Neurospora crassa OR74A: one gene and its partners. The protein of the gene in region 1 purifies or fractionates together with the protein of each later gene. This does not show direct contact. Links are inferred from orthologs where the notes say so. Each region holds a gene or a part of one and is shown on either strand. Other genes may lie near its edges.

Region 1 (4,131 bases):
GTAAAGTAATTATAATCTGATATATAGCAGCTCCTCACTTCCACCCCTCACTCTTCCCCTTCATCTTTGGCCATCAATCTACGAAACCTCCTTACCCAACCTCTCCAACTCCTCCTTGATAAAGCTGCCAGCATTAAGCAACTCCGTACCACCATAAATCACCCTCCTCTTCGCACGATCTCCCGTCGTCGTTCTCGCCGCCCACTCCTGCAAATTGCTGTATTCGGCCGTGCTCGCACCGCCAACCATGAACACAATCGCCTCCGAGAACCCCTGTCTGCGTTGCCCGAAACTGGCCGTTTGGCCCGGGCCACTTGATCCTGGCAAGCCACCGGGCCCGCCCAGGGATGACCCGCTCCCTTGGGCCCGCATGGCCGACGGCTGGGGCATGGTGCCGCGCGCGTTGGCGCTGCGCGGGTCGAAGTAGAGGTAGTGTTCCGTCTTGGCGATGGCCGAGGAGCTGGCGGCCGATGGGTCCATGAGGGACTCGGTGATCTTGGTTACCGTGAGGTCGCGGTCTTCGGGGAGGAAGTTCTTGATGCCACCCAAGAGAGAGGCCACGTTATTGGAGAGAGCGCCCGTGGGCACGCCCGTCTCCTTGAGGCGGTCGGTGAGACGGCTGGAGATGGCGGAGAAGCGGTTGAAAAGGTCCGAGGACCCGGATTGTTGCTGGTTGGAGGATGAAGGATTATTTACCGTGGTGAGTTGTGTCATTTTGGTCGTGGCGCGGACTCTGTGTGGTATTGTTAGTCAGAAATGGCTGAAAAAGCCCAAGAAAAAAAAGGGGGGTAGCACGTACTGCTTAATGTAAGAGAGGCACGTTGTGTCGCAGCCCTTGGCCGCGAGTGCCTCCTCAAATTGCGTCCATTCCTGACGAGACACATCCTGTTCCGTGCTGAGGTACCAGATCACAAAGAGACGCAGGTAATCCTCAGGCTTGCCCTTGTCCGCCGTCTTGATCTGATCCAGCACTTGCGCCTTGGTTTGCTTGAACACGTTCTCCTCCAGTTGGAAGTAGTTATCCAACTGTCGGCTTTGAATCTCGCCAAGGATAGCAGCAAGGATGTTCATGTGCATATCCAAAGTGGCTTTTCTTGCGCGCAGTTCGGGCAAGAGTGTAACAGCTGCTTTTAGATGCTGAGCACTTGCACTCGAGTCTTGTTCGAAATGGTCCAAATCCCTAACGCCAGTCTTCTTGGTGAGAGCATCCGCCTCCTCCTTGTATTTCGTGAGTTCAATGTCGATGTCCTCGGCAACCTAAGCATCCTGGTTAGTAGACCATCCTCAGGATGTCCCGTCTGCACTTCCAGCTTACCTGAGGGAACGGCAGGCATGAGTTCTTGGCCCAGAAGAAATCATCGGCAGCCAAATCATACGTCTTCTTGTTGGTGCCCTTGGCCGGGTTATTGGAGTCCACGGGGCTCTCGATTGTGATCCGGTTCGATTCCGACAAACCAAAGACGTCGGCGCATAAACTCTGGTAGGTCCACGAGTGGGACAGCATGGGAATTAGGTCAATATTACGGTCCATGATAACGAGCAGGGGCTTTGGCGTTCCAGTGCTGGAAGCGGCTGCCCTGTGTGCCGAAAAGAGGTTGTCCTTGGAGTTGAGAATATGATCGCGAAGTTTTCGGTCCAATTTCGTTGCAACCATCTCAGCAGCAGCACCCCTGGGGCAGCGAATAATGGGAATGACGCCTAGTGTCACCACCACGCTAAACAGGCCGCTGACGATCCTGTCGATAACTCTGTCCAACTCCTCATCTTGTGTCTTTGCGCTATTCAACGCCCAGTATGTATGCTCCTTCTGCATGCCCAGACTGAACAAATCCGGCTCGGGAACGATAAAGTTGAGGTACTGGTCGAATATCTGGGCAATCTTCTCCGATGTGCCGGCGACAGCGGTTTGCGCCGCAAAGTCCTCCAACAGTGGCCGTGGTACCGAGGAGAGGAAGTTGATGCTGGCAGAGTTATAGAGGTTCTTCTGAAGATCATTGGTGATTTGCTGGAGGTTCTTGGCGTTCGGTTCGATAAGGTAGATGGCATCGACATCAGGAATCGGTTGCCTGTTGGCCGCGATGGAAACGTGTAGCGTGACGCCCATGGATCGCAGATCCGAAACCTGGAGTACTGGGCTGATGACATTGCGACCAAGCTCGTCAAAGACCAAGATCTTCCACGTGGGAATGTCCTTTAGCAAGGGGGCGGAAGCGGATTGGAAGCCATTCGAGTCGTCGCCGTCGGTCGGTTCGAGGGGTTGGTTGAGGTTCAGGAGCTTCTTGATAGACACTAGAGAGCATGTGTCAGTCCACCGCAAGACTGTCTGGCATTGTGACCCTTGGGGATAGGAAGGCAGTGGGACATACAGATCTGCTTGTCGCGCAGAGAGTTCCCTGGTGTTGGCGCCATGTCTGTGTATTAAAGTGATTGCTATGCTGGTCGGCAGGAAGTTCGTGGAGGAGGACTCGGGGCCGAGGTGCTGTAGAATACTGTAGGCTGTTGAGGCAAGTGGAAGGGAAGGTAGTAGCTCCCGTCTCGCTGTCACAGTGGTGGGGCGGCTTGTGATCGCGTCCCTTGAACCGAATTATCGCTAGGCTGGCCTCGAGTCGTTGGCCTTTTCGCAAACTTTGAAAGAGAGCCGCAACTTTTTAAAGACGAAAGAGCAAACGTGTTAAGATGTTACAGTACTGAGTCCAGAAGATCCTTACGTGTTCAATAGTACCTAGGTATACAGAAAGCTGACGTGAGGAAACAGAATATCTCCGTTGAAGCTACCTTGGGTACCTACTTCTGGAGGTATGTTGTCTTCTCTGGTCCGCAAGGTACCTGACATCTCTCCCTCGGCTTGGACCAGTGGCCTTTGTCTCCCAGTGGACTGTTTACCCCTTCCCTTCTATATCCGCTAACCTCCACTTACAGGAGGTGCCGCCCTGAGCTGAGAGCTTTCCCCCACAGTAGAGGTATGACGAGGATTCCGTTATCGTCCTCCAATGTTCGATTGACACCGCAACCAGCAAGTTGTGACATCTTCCTGTCTCTGTGGCGTTTACCTTTGACTGTTCCAGGAATGGATGATTGAGCCCGTGCGTGTCATCGCTGACAATTTACCATGTCGTCCGTCTTATTTGCTCTCGATTTTCCTATATCCGTAGAAGTGTAGAGGTATGATGGACAACTTCAAGGTCCAGAGAAATACCTTCCCTAGAGGTAGGTTGGTACGTACCTCTAGGTATTTTCAGTATGTCTGCTCCTGCCATAACCTGTCTGCCTGTCTAGAGGTAGGTAGAAGTAGCGATTAAATGGTAAGGTACAAACACTGCTGCAATTTCCCACTGATTCCTGCCCCCAGCTGGCGCGGACCCACCCAAAACCCAACAAACGGCCGGTTCCTCTTTGGTTCCAGGTATCGTGCCAGCGTGCTACATACAGAAATCCAACTTCCCAGGGGCACTTCCACCTTCACTTGCCACGCGCACTGACCACAGAAGCTCTTGCTACACGTGTGCTGACTTCCACTTCGTTGCGTGCCTGGGCCATTTTTGGAGAAAGGCCCGTGATCCGCCAGTGCCAACGAGCGTCGGCGGCCCGTGAGCGCTAGCGTGCCAGCCAGTCAATGCACTCCCGTCACTGGCAAACTCGTTGAGAAAGCGCCTGCCCACTGCACTCATGCACCCGCTTGCCCAGTCGCAAAGCGTCAGTCCCTTTTTATGAACGGCGGAACGCACCTGATTTGCGCGACCGCTGCTCACGTTCAACTTTTTTCCTTTCAACTCCCGTCGTCACCCTGACCTGACATCAGCAGCATCTCTCCTTTCTTCGACGACCAACTTGTCGCCCTTGGTCGCCTTGTCGCATCGCCCATCGTCGTACTTGATAGTCGCGTCCTTTTCTTCGTACATCTTTTCCCTGTTCTGGCAAAGCTGTAGAGGCGATTTAAACGCGCAGGTTTTCTTGACGTCTCGGGCGTTTTTCTGCTTGCGCGACCGTCATTCGGAAGTCGTCTCTTTCCCTGGCAGCTGCAGTCGTCCGATCGACCTGCGGCCCTGGCTTTTGAAGATTAATTTCGTTACCTGCCTGCTCAGCTGAGTTCAAGGTCGGGACCTCTCCATTCTTTAACCCGGGATAGAGAGG
Region 2 (3,804 bases), on another chromosome or scaffold:
GGGGTCGCGAGGTTTTCGTTGTTGAGTAGACTGAGAAGGGCAGCGAAGTAGGCGGTAGGAGTCGCGGGTGTATTGCGCTCCTTGAAGGTGGCCTCGATAGCCTCGAGGACACTGGCAGTCTGTGGCTCAAGTCAGGGTCCATTGTCCACGATGGAGGCGGCCTTGCGACAGGCCACTGCAATGGCAGGCTGGAAGGAAGAGGGTAGGGATGCAGAAGACAAAAGATGGAAAAAGGAGAGATGCATCATGACTCTGGCTTACCTGCTTCTGGCTCTGGAGATTCGGAGACCGAATCTTGTCCAGTTTCTCCTGCAAAGACGGAGAAGAAGCCATCGTGAATGTGATGGAATGGCGCTGGAGTGGGACAATGCAAGCCGCTTCGCAGTGCTGAAATCGATGTCATGAAGAACAGAAAAGTTCGAAAAGTTGTCGCTTATCGGCGCGCACGCCCCACCCGCTGTCATTGATAAGGGTCTGGCGCTAGTCCGAAGCGGCTCCCAACTGTAACTCCAGGGTTAGCTATGGCATCTCATGCTTATAGAGGTACCTATGTTTCGCTTGGGCAGCCATCAAGGTTATGAGATACAACAATTCATGTTGGATCGTACGAACAACGCGTACCCACTAGGAACAAGTTTCTATTGCTTTAAGCCCATCTCTACCCCAGACAGCAGGTTTGTTTGGGTCTTCCGTAAATCACCAAAGCGTCGATGACCGTATTCATGATATGACAGTTCATCCCCCTCCCAACCAGAAAACGCCGGTACGATAACAAAGAAAAGAAAAAGGAAAGAAGGAAACCAGAAAGTGATAAATGGCTGTATATCACAAGTTCCTCCACCCTGTTTATGAAAACTCGTTGTCTGCCTCCTCAAAGTTGTTCTTGATCTGGAGAAGAACAGCCGCCTTCCAGTCATCGAGCCGGCTCATCTTATCGTACGCGGCAAGCTTATCCTGGAACATCTCGAGGTTGTTGTTTGAGGCTGCTTCCAACAAGTCAACCAGGAGTTGGTATTCGCGCTGGCCCGTAAATGATGGGTCCTTCTCGGCATACTTGGTGATGTTACGCTGAGCAGTGACCATATCCTTGGTCGCCAAGGAGCAGAGACCGGCCTTGAGGAAGTACTCCTTGACCGAGTACCTCATCAGGTTGTTGCCGAGTGAAGCCTCCGCAACCTTCTCGAACTTCTCTATAGCGGCGAAAAAGTCGCCCGCGAGGGCAGAGAGGTCGGCCACCTTGAGCCACAGCTTGTTCGCAAGACTACACACAGCTGGTTAGAACGACCTGTTGGACTCGTAACATGGCGCAAAAGCCGTGGGCATTAATCACTTACGCGACAGCACCGTCGTTCTCATACCACTCGGCCGCAGTTGTATAGGCCTTGATAGCCTCTGGCTTATTCTGCAGCTCGTTTTCGTAGACCTCAGCCTGGTTCTCCTTGTGCGACGCAGCTCTCCGGAAGTTCCCCGCCATGGTATACTGCTTGATGGCAACCTCGACGCAGCGCACAGCATTATCCGGGGCATCTTTCCTATAGACCTTGAAGGCGTCCAACATGGCATTCGCCGCATCGTTGGGCTCCTTCAACTTCTCAGTGAAGATCTTGGCAGCTTCCTCGAAACACTTGCCGGCCTCGGTGTCTGGGTAGTGGGCAGAACGTTAGGACTTGCCGCGAGGTTCATATGGCCCGAAAGCGCATCGTGGGTGTTGATGATTGTGATGACGTACTTGACTTCTGCAACCTGAAAGCGTTGGCCGCTTGTATGTACTGATCCGCCGCATTTTGGTACTTGTCTTCCTTGTTTCCGAACAGACCCCAGCCTTTGGACGCGCTCGCGAGGGTCTTCTCTGCCTGGTGTTCGCATTCGGCATCAGCAAGGTGTCGCGAAAGTGTCAGGAGGTGCCAGGAGGGGCAGGTTTCAAACCTCTTGTTGGAGAACGCGCGGATCGACAGCCATGAAGGGCAAGTTATTAGACGGTATATAGATGGGCAAAGTTCTAAGTTGGAGTCGCGTCCGCTGTATGAAGCCGATTGATGGGTGTCCCAATTGTTCGGAATCGGGCGCGCTCGAAGAAGCTCAGGTGTTGGTCGGGATGGTGTCGTGTTGGTGGTTGCAGGAGCCCGAGGTGTTTCGTTGTCTCCCGGGGTAAGGTATGCGGGCATGGGATTGGGGGGTTGGCCGGTACTCGTGCTCCGCCCCCACTTTTTTGGGTCTCGCCAAACTCGCACCAACTAAAGTTGGTGCTCACGACTGCAACGGCCACACCAGCGCAACGGCCAGGTTAGGGTTAGAGGTGCAATTTCGGGCTTGATTTATAGGCCAGAAACATAATCTTTCTAATGTATTGGCTTTTCTAAGCAGAAAAATGCTTCCTATATACGATGTACTTCCCTAATTATACTTATAGTATTTTACTTATCTCAATTGGTTGTTGTGATGAGTTACAAGCTTCTGATATCTTGATGCTGAACTATGCTCACTATGGTGGCCGTTGTGGTGGTGTGGCCGTTGCAGTCGTGAGCACCAACTTTAGTTGGTGCGAGTTTGGCGAGATCCAAAAAAGTGGGGGCGGAGCACGAGTATTGGGGGGATGATCACTTTAGCGGGCTGTGATCGCTGATGCCGGCTCGCCAAGCCCTTGACGCCTGAGCAGGTTCCCTGAGGGCTGGTAGCTTGCCTGACCAAGTGGCCCGGTGGCAGGGGTCTAGCCTTCAACCTACCAAAGCTCAGCTATGACGCCCAATAGGTAGGTACCTCGCAAAGGATGTCTCGTCCTCTTTCATCTCAACCTCTCATATCGCGACATTTTACCAGAGCCTCACCTGAAACCACCCATTAAAGCATCAAATAATCTCCAAGCCACATCATATGCAAACCTCATAGAGCAACGCAAGTCAACATCTCCCTTTCAGCTATACTACCTTGAAAACCGAGGCATTTTCTTCCCATCAAGGCTATCATGACAACAAAAACCATCTGCCGCGCCTGCCACCGCGCAGCTCTTTCAACCTCCTCGGCCCTCTCAGCCTGCTTCAGCTCCAACTCCAGCCAGCCATCAACCCGTGACTTCTCCCGCTCACGATCTTTTACAACCGAAACCTTCCCTCAATTCACCGCCCGCGGCGGCTCCTCCAAACTCCCTCCACCATCACAAATCAGCCCATCAGTCATCCTCTCCACGCCAACCTGGTCCGTCCGCTCTCTTCTTCCTCCATCATCCACACCATCCTCGTCAACCCAACCCGAAGAAAGCGAAATAACCCCCCAAACTCTGCACCACCTCGCCCGCCTCTCCGCCCTCCCCCCGCCCTCCGCCTCCGACCCTGCCTCCACCACCCGCCTCCTCTCGGCTCTGCACTCACACCTGCACTTCGTGCGGGCCATCCAGTCGGTGGATACCACGGATCCGTCAGATCAAGCCAAGGAGCTGGCGCCCTTGAGTTCGATCCGAGATGAGTCTCCGGAGGGACTGGCGGACAGCACAATTGATCTGAAGATGCTTGAAGGGGCGCTGGCGGAGGAGGATATTGTTGGTCATTGCCTGCGGCCGAGGCGGAGAAAGATGGAGGAGCTGAAAGAAAAGAAGAAAAATGAGGCTGAGGATTGGGATGTGTTGGGATCAGCTGAGCAAAAGGTTGGGAGATACTTTGTTGTCAGGAGTGGGAAGAAGGGGGAGTAGATGATCAAGGGGAAAATGGCCGAGATTCGTCTCGCGCGCCCTGGAGAAGGCATAAGGGCTGTGGTCTGCGTGGTCTGACTATATAGGAGGGCTCTGTATCTGCTAACTGATGCCGAACGTGT
Region 3 (3,205 bases), about 1.0 Mb from region 1:
TTCCTCGACTGCTGGTTCCTCGACTGCTGGTTCCTCGACTGCTGGTTCCTCGACTGCTGGTTCCTCGACTGCTGGTTCCTCAACTGCTGGTTCCTCGACCGTTGACTTTTCGGCTGCTATCTCCTCCAAAGTCACCTGCGCAGCAGTATCAATCTTTTGGACAAGGATAGCATCCCAGTCCCCACTCACGCTCCGGGGAGGTGAGGCCGGAGGAGAAGAGAGGACGGAGGACAGCGGAGAACTACTTCCTTCTTCAGCCATCCTTCAGGACACCTTCAGTTAGTCGCCTTTCTGGAAAGATAATTATTGCGTGTTGAAGTTGTTCAAGGAGTGATCGAACGCGGCAGTGTGGGTTTGCCGGCAAAGGAAAAATTACCGTCAAGTCAGATCTGGATCTAGACAGATCCGGAACTACTTAGTTGTTGTGATATTAAACAATACCAGATAGCAGAAACTGGCAGAATGGCGCCGTGAAAGTCACCGTTTGTCTTTCGTAAGTCAATGATGGTTCATGCGGCCAATATGGCTGTGGTTACATCTGCGAACAAACTGATGTCTGGTGGAAGGGAGGGGAGAAAGTGGGGGGTTTATAAAAGTAGAGAATGAGATGCGTTCAGGTGAAAATGTGGTCAACGAAACGAACCGAAGTGGTACTACCTTGAGTACAAGTTGACGCGCAAGGTTGGGAGGATGTGCGAGGGAACGAGGTGGAACTGAACTTGATCTAACCACCACTCTGAACTGGGAGGGGGATTATACTGACTGTGATGAATGATAGGTACCTCTAGGTAAGTAGGTAGATATTCCACCTCCAGCTCCCCTTCCCCGATGTTGTTCGGTTGAAGATGCTCCTTCTTCAAGTCGTTGTGTGATGGACAGGATGGGTGGGGATGGAAGCTGAAAGGCGCCAAGCCCGGGCAGCCACTTGCATGACACACCCCGGAAGCTAGAGGTAGCTTGTACATACTGCATAGTAGGCGTGAATAGCGGGCCGGGCGAGACTGCCTGCTCGCACTATTTAACTACCTAAACAAAACTAACTTGCAGGCCCTGCAGGGTGAACTTTCAACACATTTCCAGCGGCAGTACCGTCATCAGTGTCCCGTTTGACGACTTGTAATCCTTGATAAGGAAACACACGTTGGCCTGGCGAAATCATTGCATCACTCTACCTACGGGTAATGTTTTGTTTTCTTTATATAGCCATGTAAAGAAAAAAAAAAAACAAGAAAGAGGATAGCGAATTACAATCTGGTCTGCTGGTCGACAGGGAAAGAAGCATGCAATTGAACAAGAGAATTCGTCGGTGCGAGTTGGTTGCGGTACCTAGGTAGAAGCCACGTACCTGGCTGCTTTTGACGGATCACTCCCACTCGTCATCACAAGCTTTTATAAACCTTGCCTTGTTCACTGTCCTCTCCAACGACACCAACTTAACAAATCCAAGCACGCAACTGAACTGGCCTTGATTTCGAGTTGCACAACGATACTAAAGGTCGCCAAAAACAACACAATGAAAAAGGAGTGATATAACCTATTCTTCACAATGATCCGCTCAACACAAATTGCACGGCTGGATGGTTCGTGCCCCCCCCCCCCCCCCCCCTAACTAACCCCCTCGACCAACATCTGTGTGCCTATGGAGATGTCAATGTCTTGTCCGGTAGCTAACCAAGACCCCTCCCCTCAAAACACAGGCCTCATGCTCTGCGCTTCCGTCGACGACGAAGCAACTGAATCCTCCCTCAGCGAAGTCAAGTCCCAAGTCAAACTAATTCTGCGCCGCCTAACGCGCACCTCGGAACCGCAAGCCAGCATCGAGAGCGGCTCTCTCTACACGCTGCACTACCTGATTCAGTCCGACATCGTATACTTCGCCATTACGGACCGGTCGTACCCGCGCAAGCTAGCCTTCACCTACCTTTCCGACATTGCGGGCGAGTTCGCGACGACGCACACCCCGGCACAGCTCATGAACCCGACGCTGCGGCCCTATGCCTTTATGGACTTTGACAGCTTCATCAGCCGCACCAAGGCGACTTACAGCGACACGCGTGCGACTCAGAACCTGGATAAGCTGCATGATGAGCTTAGGGACGTGACCAAAGTCATGACCAAGAACATTGAGGATCTGCTGTACCGCGGCGACAGCCTGGAGCGCATGGGCGAGCTGAGCAGTAGGCTGAGGGACGATAGCAAGAAGTACAAGAGGGCGGCTGTTAAGATCAACTGGGATTTGCTGCTGAAGCAGTACGGCCCCTTTGCGGCGGTCGGTTCCATTATCATCTTCTTCTTGTGGTGGAGATTCTTCTTTTGAGTGCATCCCAGGCAGGGAGCATCACCGGTAGCGGGTTAGCATGATACCGTCGGGTGGGTTTCCTCAGTCAGCCTGGCTCTGTATGATGCTGTGACGGATAGCCTACGTGGATTCTGTAATTATTTTAATATGTGTTTGTAGGGCATTGGTTTTTGGCGCTTGACCTAGCATGGAGTTTGGGTAAAGGAGGTTGGGGGGAAAGGGGGGCAAACGCAAAAGGACGTTTGGCCAGGTGAGGTTTCAGCTATCAAGACATGTTGCTTATAGGTTCCTGCTTTCCACTCCTTCATCCGATGCCTTCCTAAAGCCTGACAAGGTCTCTATGGATGACTGTACCACAGTGTCACCGATGCTCAATCATGCGTATCTCCTGGTTCATTCCAGACCGGCATCTCTTCTGCTCGACACGCTATTTCTGTCAAGCGATGATACAAAATCTCCATCTGAGATAGCCTATCGGTCTCTTTCCCTACTTGAAGTAGAAGCTCTTGCCCCCCCAAACTCCAATTCCAAACCCGTTTTTTTTTTTTTTTCTTTTTTTCAATTTTGTTGTTCTCAATCCAGAACATAAACCGACACCCTGGACACTAAGCCCAAGCTTGAACCACCCGCACACGCACCCGCAAGCCTCAATCACATAATCAAACAACTCCCCGCCGCCTTTGGCAATAACGCCGGTATACTCGGCACCGGCAACGCCGTATGATACCATTCCAAATGCTCCTGGAAGCTGGCCAAGTCCTCGAACCCCCTCTCGTCCTGTGCCCACTTGACCTCGTCCTCGCTGTCCTCACCCTGGTCCACGTACGTGTATTCGTCGCAGTAGGGACACCATATCCTCGCCAGCCAATCGCCAGGGACGGGGGCAATGTGGTTCGCAATTGCTAA
Region 4 (3,656 bases), on another chromosome or scaffold:
GGGCGAGGCTCGAGAAGCTGACCAGGGGGGACGAGGTCGCGTCGGGAAGGTCGACTTCGTCAATCAACGGAGCAGACGAGTGCGAGCCAAGCGAGCCAAGAGCGAACGATGGTTCCTGTCCAGGTTACGCCCGACTGCCCGGCAAGACGTTGCACCCTGGACTTGCCTTTAAAGCCAATGGGATTGGCTCGGCCCTGGTCTGCAGCAGCGGGTCCACCCACCCACTGCACTGCGAACCCACTGCAGAGAGTCTAGTGTCCACTGCGCTTCGTCGCCGTCCCAACGTCCCCCAGCATCCCGCCCGTTCCTCTTCCATCTCACAAGCGAACGGCACCGCGACGGCAGAGTGAGATCGCTGGGGAAACGAATGGCGAAGAGCCACAGCTCACTGGGCTTGTCCTAATCGGTGCAAAAAGCGGTGGAGCACCACAGGCATCGCCGGCGTCCAAATCTGGTGTAGTGTAGGTGGAAGGAGGAACCGACGCATGTGCCGGCCACTTCACGAACCCCCCCTGTCTCTTTCCTAGGCTTGTCTACACGACACTACACTACATAGTACACTACACTACGGCTTGGTTTTCCTCTTTGAGCCATCTCCTCGTCATTACATACACTACGACTACGGGTCTTGATGGTTGTTGTTCCATCAAGGTCAACTTTTGGTAGGAAGACTTCTAGCTTCACCAGTCTGACGATCTCTCGGCCAGAAGTTCATGTCCAGCTTTACATTATTGGTGATGTACAGACGCGTGGGCAAGGCGGTTCGATGGTCATATGTGTGTAGTTACATTTGTGCGACCATGAATGATATGTACCCGAAAGGCTTCGAGATCCGACACGAGGTGGAAATCCGCGCGGTGTAATATCCGGACCTGGTGGAGAGGATCGATGACTTTGTTCTCGAAAAGGTCATTCAAGGCATCGATCCCATCCGTCTGACTCGAAGGAGTTTTGCTCCATAGTATTTTATACTGGGTAGTCGTGGAATCATATACTATGTGCCTCATAGGGGTAATACTCGTTGAGAGGTCCGCGATCCCTTCCAGACTCGGAGCAGAGTGCATGTCAAACATATTCGCTTCGCGGGTGAACACTGTACACCAAAGACCCTTTTTTCGCTTCAGGAAACCTCGTTAGAAGCATGGGCCGGCGTTCCGCTTGTTCTGTTTGTGCTTTCTAATCACCTTCCACATCATCAGTCCGTCCCCTTGGAAACTTTTGTTCAATGTTCCAGGAAGATGTTCTTGACAAGTGCGATTGTAGGGATCTGAGTAGTCGTCTTAGTCGTCATTGCACATGTCAATCATGGTTGAACAAAAAGCAAATGAAAGGACACGGAGATGCAACAAGAGCCCGTGTTAGGACAAGGTCTTCCTATAGTAGCATTGGCACTAACATGTGCTAGCGGGGCGGTGTTTGGCCGACGCCCGCCTGACGGTGCTGTTCCAGCCCAGAGGGCATGGGTCTCGATGGCCTGGCCCAACAAGAAGCGGACGGCTGTGGTTGGCTTCGACACATCGCCATTCAGCCTCGAACAACAGCTTGATTCCATCGATACCTCATCGCATCGCCATTGCCGCCATCGATCGCGCGTCGTCTATCAAACCCCTCCCCCTAATCCATCGACAATCGTCGAGCCCGAACCACGACCGACACAGCGACGCGCTTCCTTGACCAAACCATCGCAACTTACAATCCATTAACCTAATCTAACGACGAACCCTACGATTCGGCAATTCCAGACCTCATTGCTCCCCACGCCATCACATCGGCTCTCTCTATCCCAACGCGAGACATCAACATCATCGTGTACAGTCAGGAACCATCAACAGCGATACTCGCCTGATTTGCGCCAAAGCTCTGAAACACGACCACAACAAAACCTCGGGGACGTTTCAAATACCGCTACCATGAAGCTCTACTACATTGGTGTAAGATACGGCTGCTTTCATAGGGGGTACAAGAAGGTACCTGCTGACCGCGAACAAGATCTACAAAAACACCGAGCAGCCTGCGGTGCAGCTCTGCGGTGCCCACGAGCTTAGCGACTTCTCCAGGTTCACACGAGACCAATACAAGAACTTCATGACCATGATCAGCAGGACTGTCGCAGAGAGGACGAAGCCTGGCCAGAGGCAAAGTGTTGAGGAGCAAGGTGCGTCTATGGTGAACTCTCTGCTCGCATACATGTGCCTAGCTGACTAGGTGGTGTCCGAACAGATTATATTATCCACGCCTATGCCCGCTCCGAGGGTGTTTGCGGTGTCGTCATCACCAAGGACTACCCTCCTATCGCCGCCCACAGTGTCCTTTCCAAGCTCATGGACCAGTTTCTCTCGGAGAAGCCGGTTGCCACGATAAACGCCGCCAAGAACGACGGCGACATCCCTTTCCCGGCCATCGAGCAGTACCTTCGCGACTACCAAGATGCCAACAACGCGAGCAGCATTGCAAAGATCCAGCAAGAGCTCGACGAGACCAAGATCGTCCTACACAAGGCAATTGATAGCGTATGTCCATTCACAGAGGGTAGCAATGCTCTATATAACATGCTAACCTAGTTTTAGGTTTTGCAACGAGGCGAGAAGCTCGACGACCTGGTTGCCAAGAGTTCCGACCTGAGTGCGCAGAGCAAGATGTTCTACCAGAGTGCGAAGAAGCAGAACTCGTGCTGCCTGGTTATGTAAAGATCGTTCATCAATACCAACCAACCACGCGCGACTGTCTTCGCTTTTAGTCAGCCGCACTGATATATGCCATCGACCGCAACGTTCCCCCTACCCAAATACAAAGAGCGACTGACCCCTCGTTGTCTTCGAGGCACTGGTGGGGGTCTCTTCTAATTCAGCTTTTGGTTTCCGCGCAGGTTGCAGTTTGGCTACTGACGACAGAGGGCCTTACAGTAGCCGCTTTGGATATGTGAAAGCCACTTACCTTGACGGCTTCGTGGGCTCTGAGAATGCTAAACTTCTAATTCAACCTGCAATATACCCTTTCTCATATTCATTGTTGTGTGGTACATACCCGAAACTGTGAAAGATTGACCACTGTTTGGCGCTAAAGCTGTGAAATACATACTTCGACTACCAGATGTAGGTAGTCCTGTTATAGATTTGTTATGTGTCGAACCCGAGGCTGCGCACTTATCTGAGAGATCTTCGCTCCGTTTCTTGCATACCCGTTAGTTTCATACGACATCCGCCCTCAAAGATTATGTGATGGGCCGACACAAGCGAAGCGGTCGGGTTCCCCAGTCACGACATTCGGTTGCAGTGATGACGACCTTGTCCGCCACGCCGTAGTGGCGTAAACTGTGCGAGTCGTAACTAATGTACACTATGGTATATTCTAGGGGTTGTTATCCCTCTCAAGCTAGCCCAGCCAAAAAGACTCTTTTGAAGATATGAATGGAAACGTTGAGATTCAAACTACAAGACTACGCAGCAGCATCAATTGAGCTGATCGATGATGGCGGCATTGCGTACGGATCTTCCTCCATGCCGATCTTATATCGGCTCCGTCGGCGTCTACTCATGTGCACTACAGACGTTGGATGCAAGCTGGGGTTCGAACAACATCATAGGAAACTGAGACTGTAAATGTGCGGGGTGGCAGAGGCGCTCCTACCTGATGTCGCGCCTTTGCTTCAAATGAAT

Evidence for each region. The genes of interacting proteins can lie anywhere in the genome.
Region 2: the proteins of NCU04252 (region 1) and NCU01674 purify together in Saccharomyces cerevisiae (affinity purification with mass spectrometry; 4 studies listed by BioGRID, with this or other methods). This does not show direct contact. The link is inferred for Neurospora crassa OR74A from reciprocal best matches to the Saccharomyces cerevisiae genes SLY1 and SEC17.
Region 3: the proteins of NCU04252 (region 1) and NCU06708 purify together in Saccharomyces cerevisiae (affinity purification with western blotting; 3 studies listed by BioGRID, with this or other methods). This does not show direct contact. The link is inferred for Neurospora crassa OR74A from reciprocal best matches to the Saccharomyces cerevisiae genes SLY1 and SEC22.
Region 4: the proteins of NCU04252 (region 1) and NCU08973 purify together in Saccharomyces cerevisiae (affinity purification with mass spectrometry; 3 studies listed by BioGRID, with this or other methods). This does not show direct contact. The link is inferred for Neurospora crassa OR74A from reciprocal best matches to the Saccharomyces cerevisiae genes SLY1 and YKT6.

What each region holds. Positions count from the first base shown.
Region 1 is NC_026505.1:5,366,440-5,370,570, forward strand, and holds the start of NCU04252 (SNARE docking complex subunit), read right to left. Parts: upstream 2,802-4,131; 5' UTR 2,410-2,801; coding exon 2,367-2,409; intron 2,290-2,366; coding exon 1,316-2,289; intron 1,258-1,315; coding exon 800-1,257; intron 734-799; coding exon 79-733; 3' UTR 1-78. UniProt on the Saccharomyces cerevisiae protein: Able to suppress the functional loss of YPT1. SLY1 is essential for cell viability. May interact indirectly, or directly with YPT1.
Region 2 is NC_026502.1:2,742,002-2,745,805, forward strand, and holds NCU01674 (alpha-soluble NSF attachment protein), read right to left. Parts: upstream 2,335-3,804; 5' UTR 1,960-2,334; coding exon 1,927-1,959; intron 1,854-1,926; coding exon 1,730-1,853; intron 1,642-1,729; coding exon 1,335-1,641; intron 1,262-1,334; coding exon 847-1,261; 3' UTR 515-846; downstream 1-514. Other genes in the region: NCU01675 (90S preribosome component RRP12), read right to left, coding at 1-119, 262-333; NCU01673 (hypothetical protein), read left to right, coding at 2,963-3,682. UniProt on the Saccharomyces cerevisiae protein: SNARE complex protein that binds to cis-SNARE complexes on membranes and is required for vesicular transport between the endoplasmic reticulum and the Golgi apparatus and for homotypic vacuole fusion.
Region 3 is NC_026505.1:4,347,985-4,351,189, forward strand, and holds NCU06708 (protein transporter sec22), read left to right. Parts: upstream 1-1,384; 5' UTR 1,385-1,546; coding exon 1,547-1,580; intron 1,581-1,697; coding exon 1,698-2,317; 3' UTR 2,318-2,691; downstream 2,692-3,205. Other genes in the region: NCU06707 (uncharacterized protein), read right to left, coding at 1-261; NCU06709 (hypothetical protein), read right to left, coding at 2,951-3,205. UniProt on the Saccharomyces cerevisiae protein: Nonessential SNARE involved in targeting and fusion of ER-derived transport vesicles with the Golgi complex as well as Golgi-derived retrograde transport vesicles with the ER.
Region 4 is NC_026503.1:4,097,496-4,101,151, reverse strand, and holds NCU08973 (SNARE protein Ykt6), read left to right. Parts: upstream 1-1,468; 5' UTR 1,469-1,910; coding exon 1,911-1,931; intron 1,932-1,989; coding exon 1,990-2,155; intron 2,156-2,220; coding exon 2,221-2,510; intron 2,511-2,567; coding exon 2,568-2,687; 3' UTR 2,688-3,142; downstream 3,143-3,656. Other genes in the region: NCU16686 (hypothetical protein), read left to right, coding at 1-350.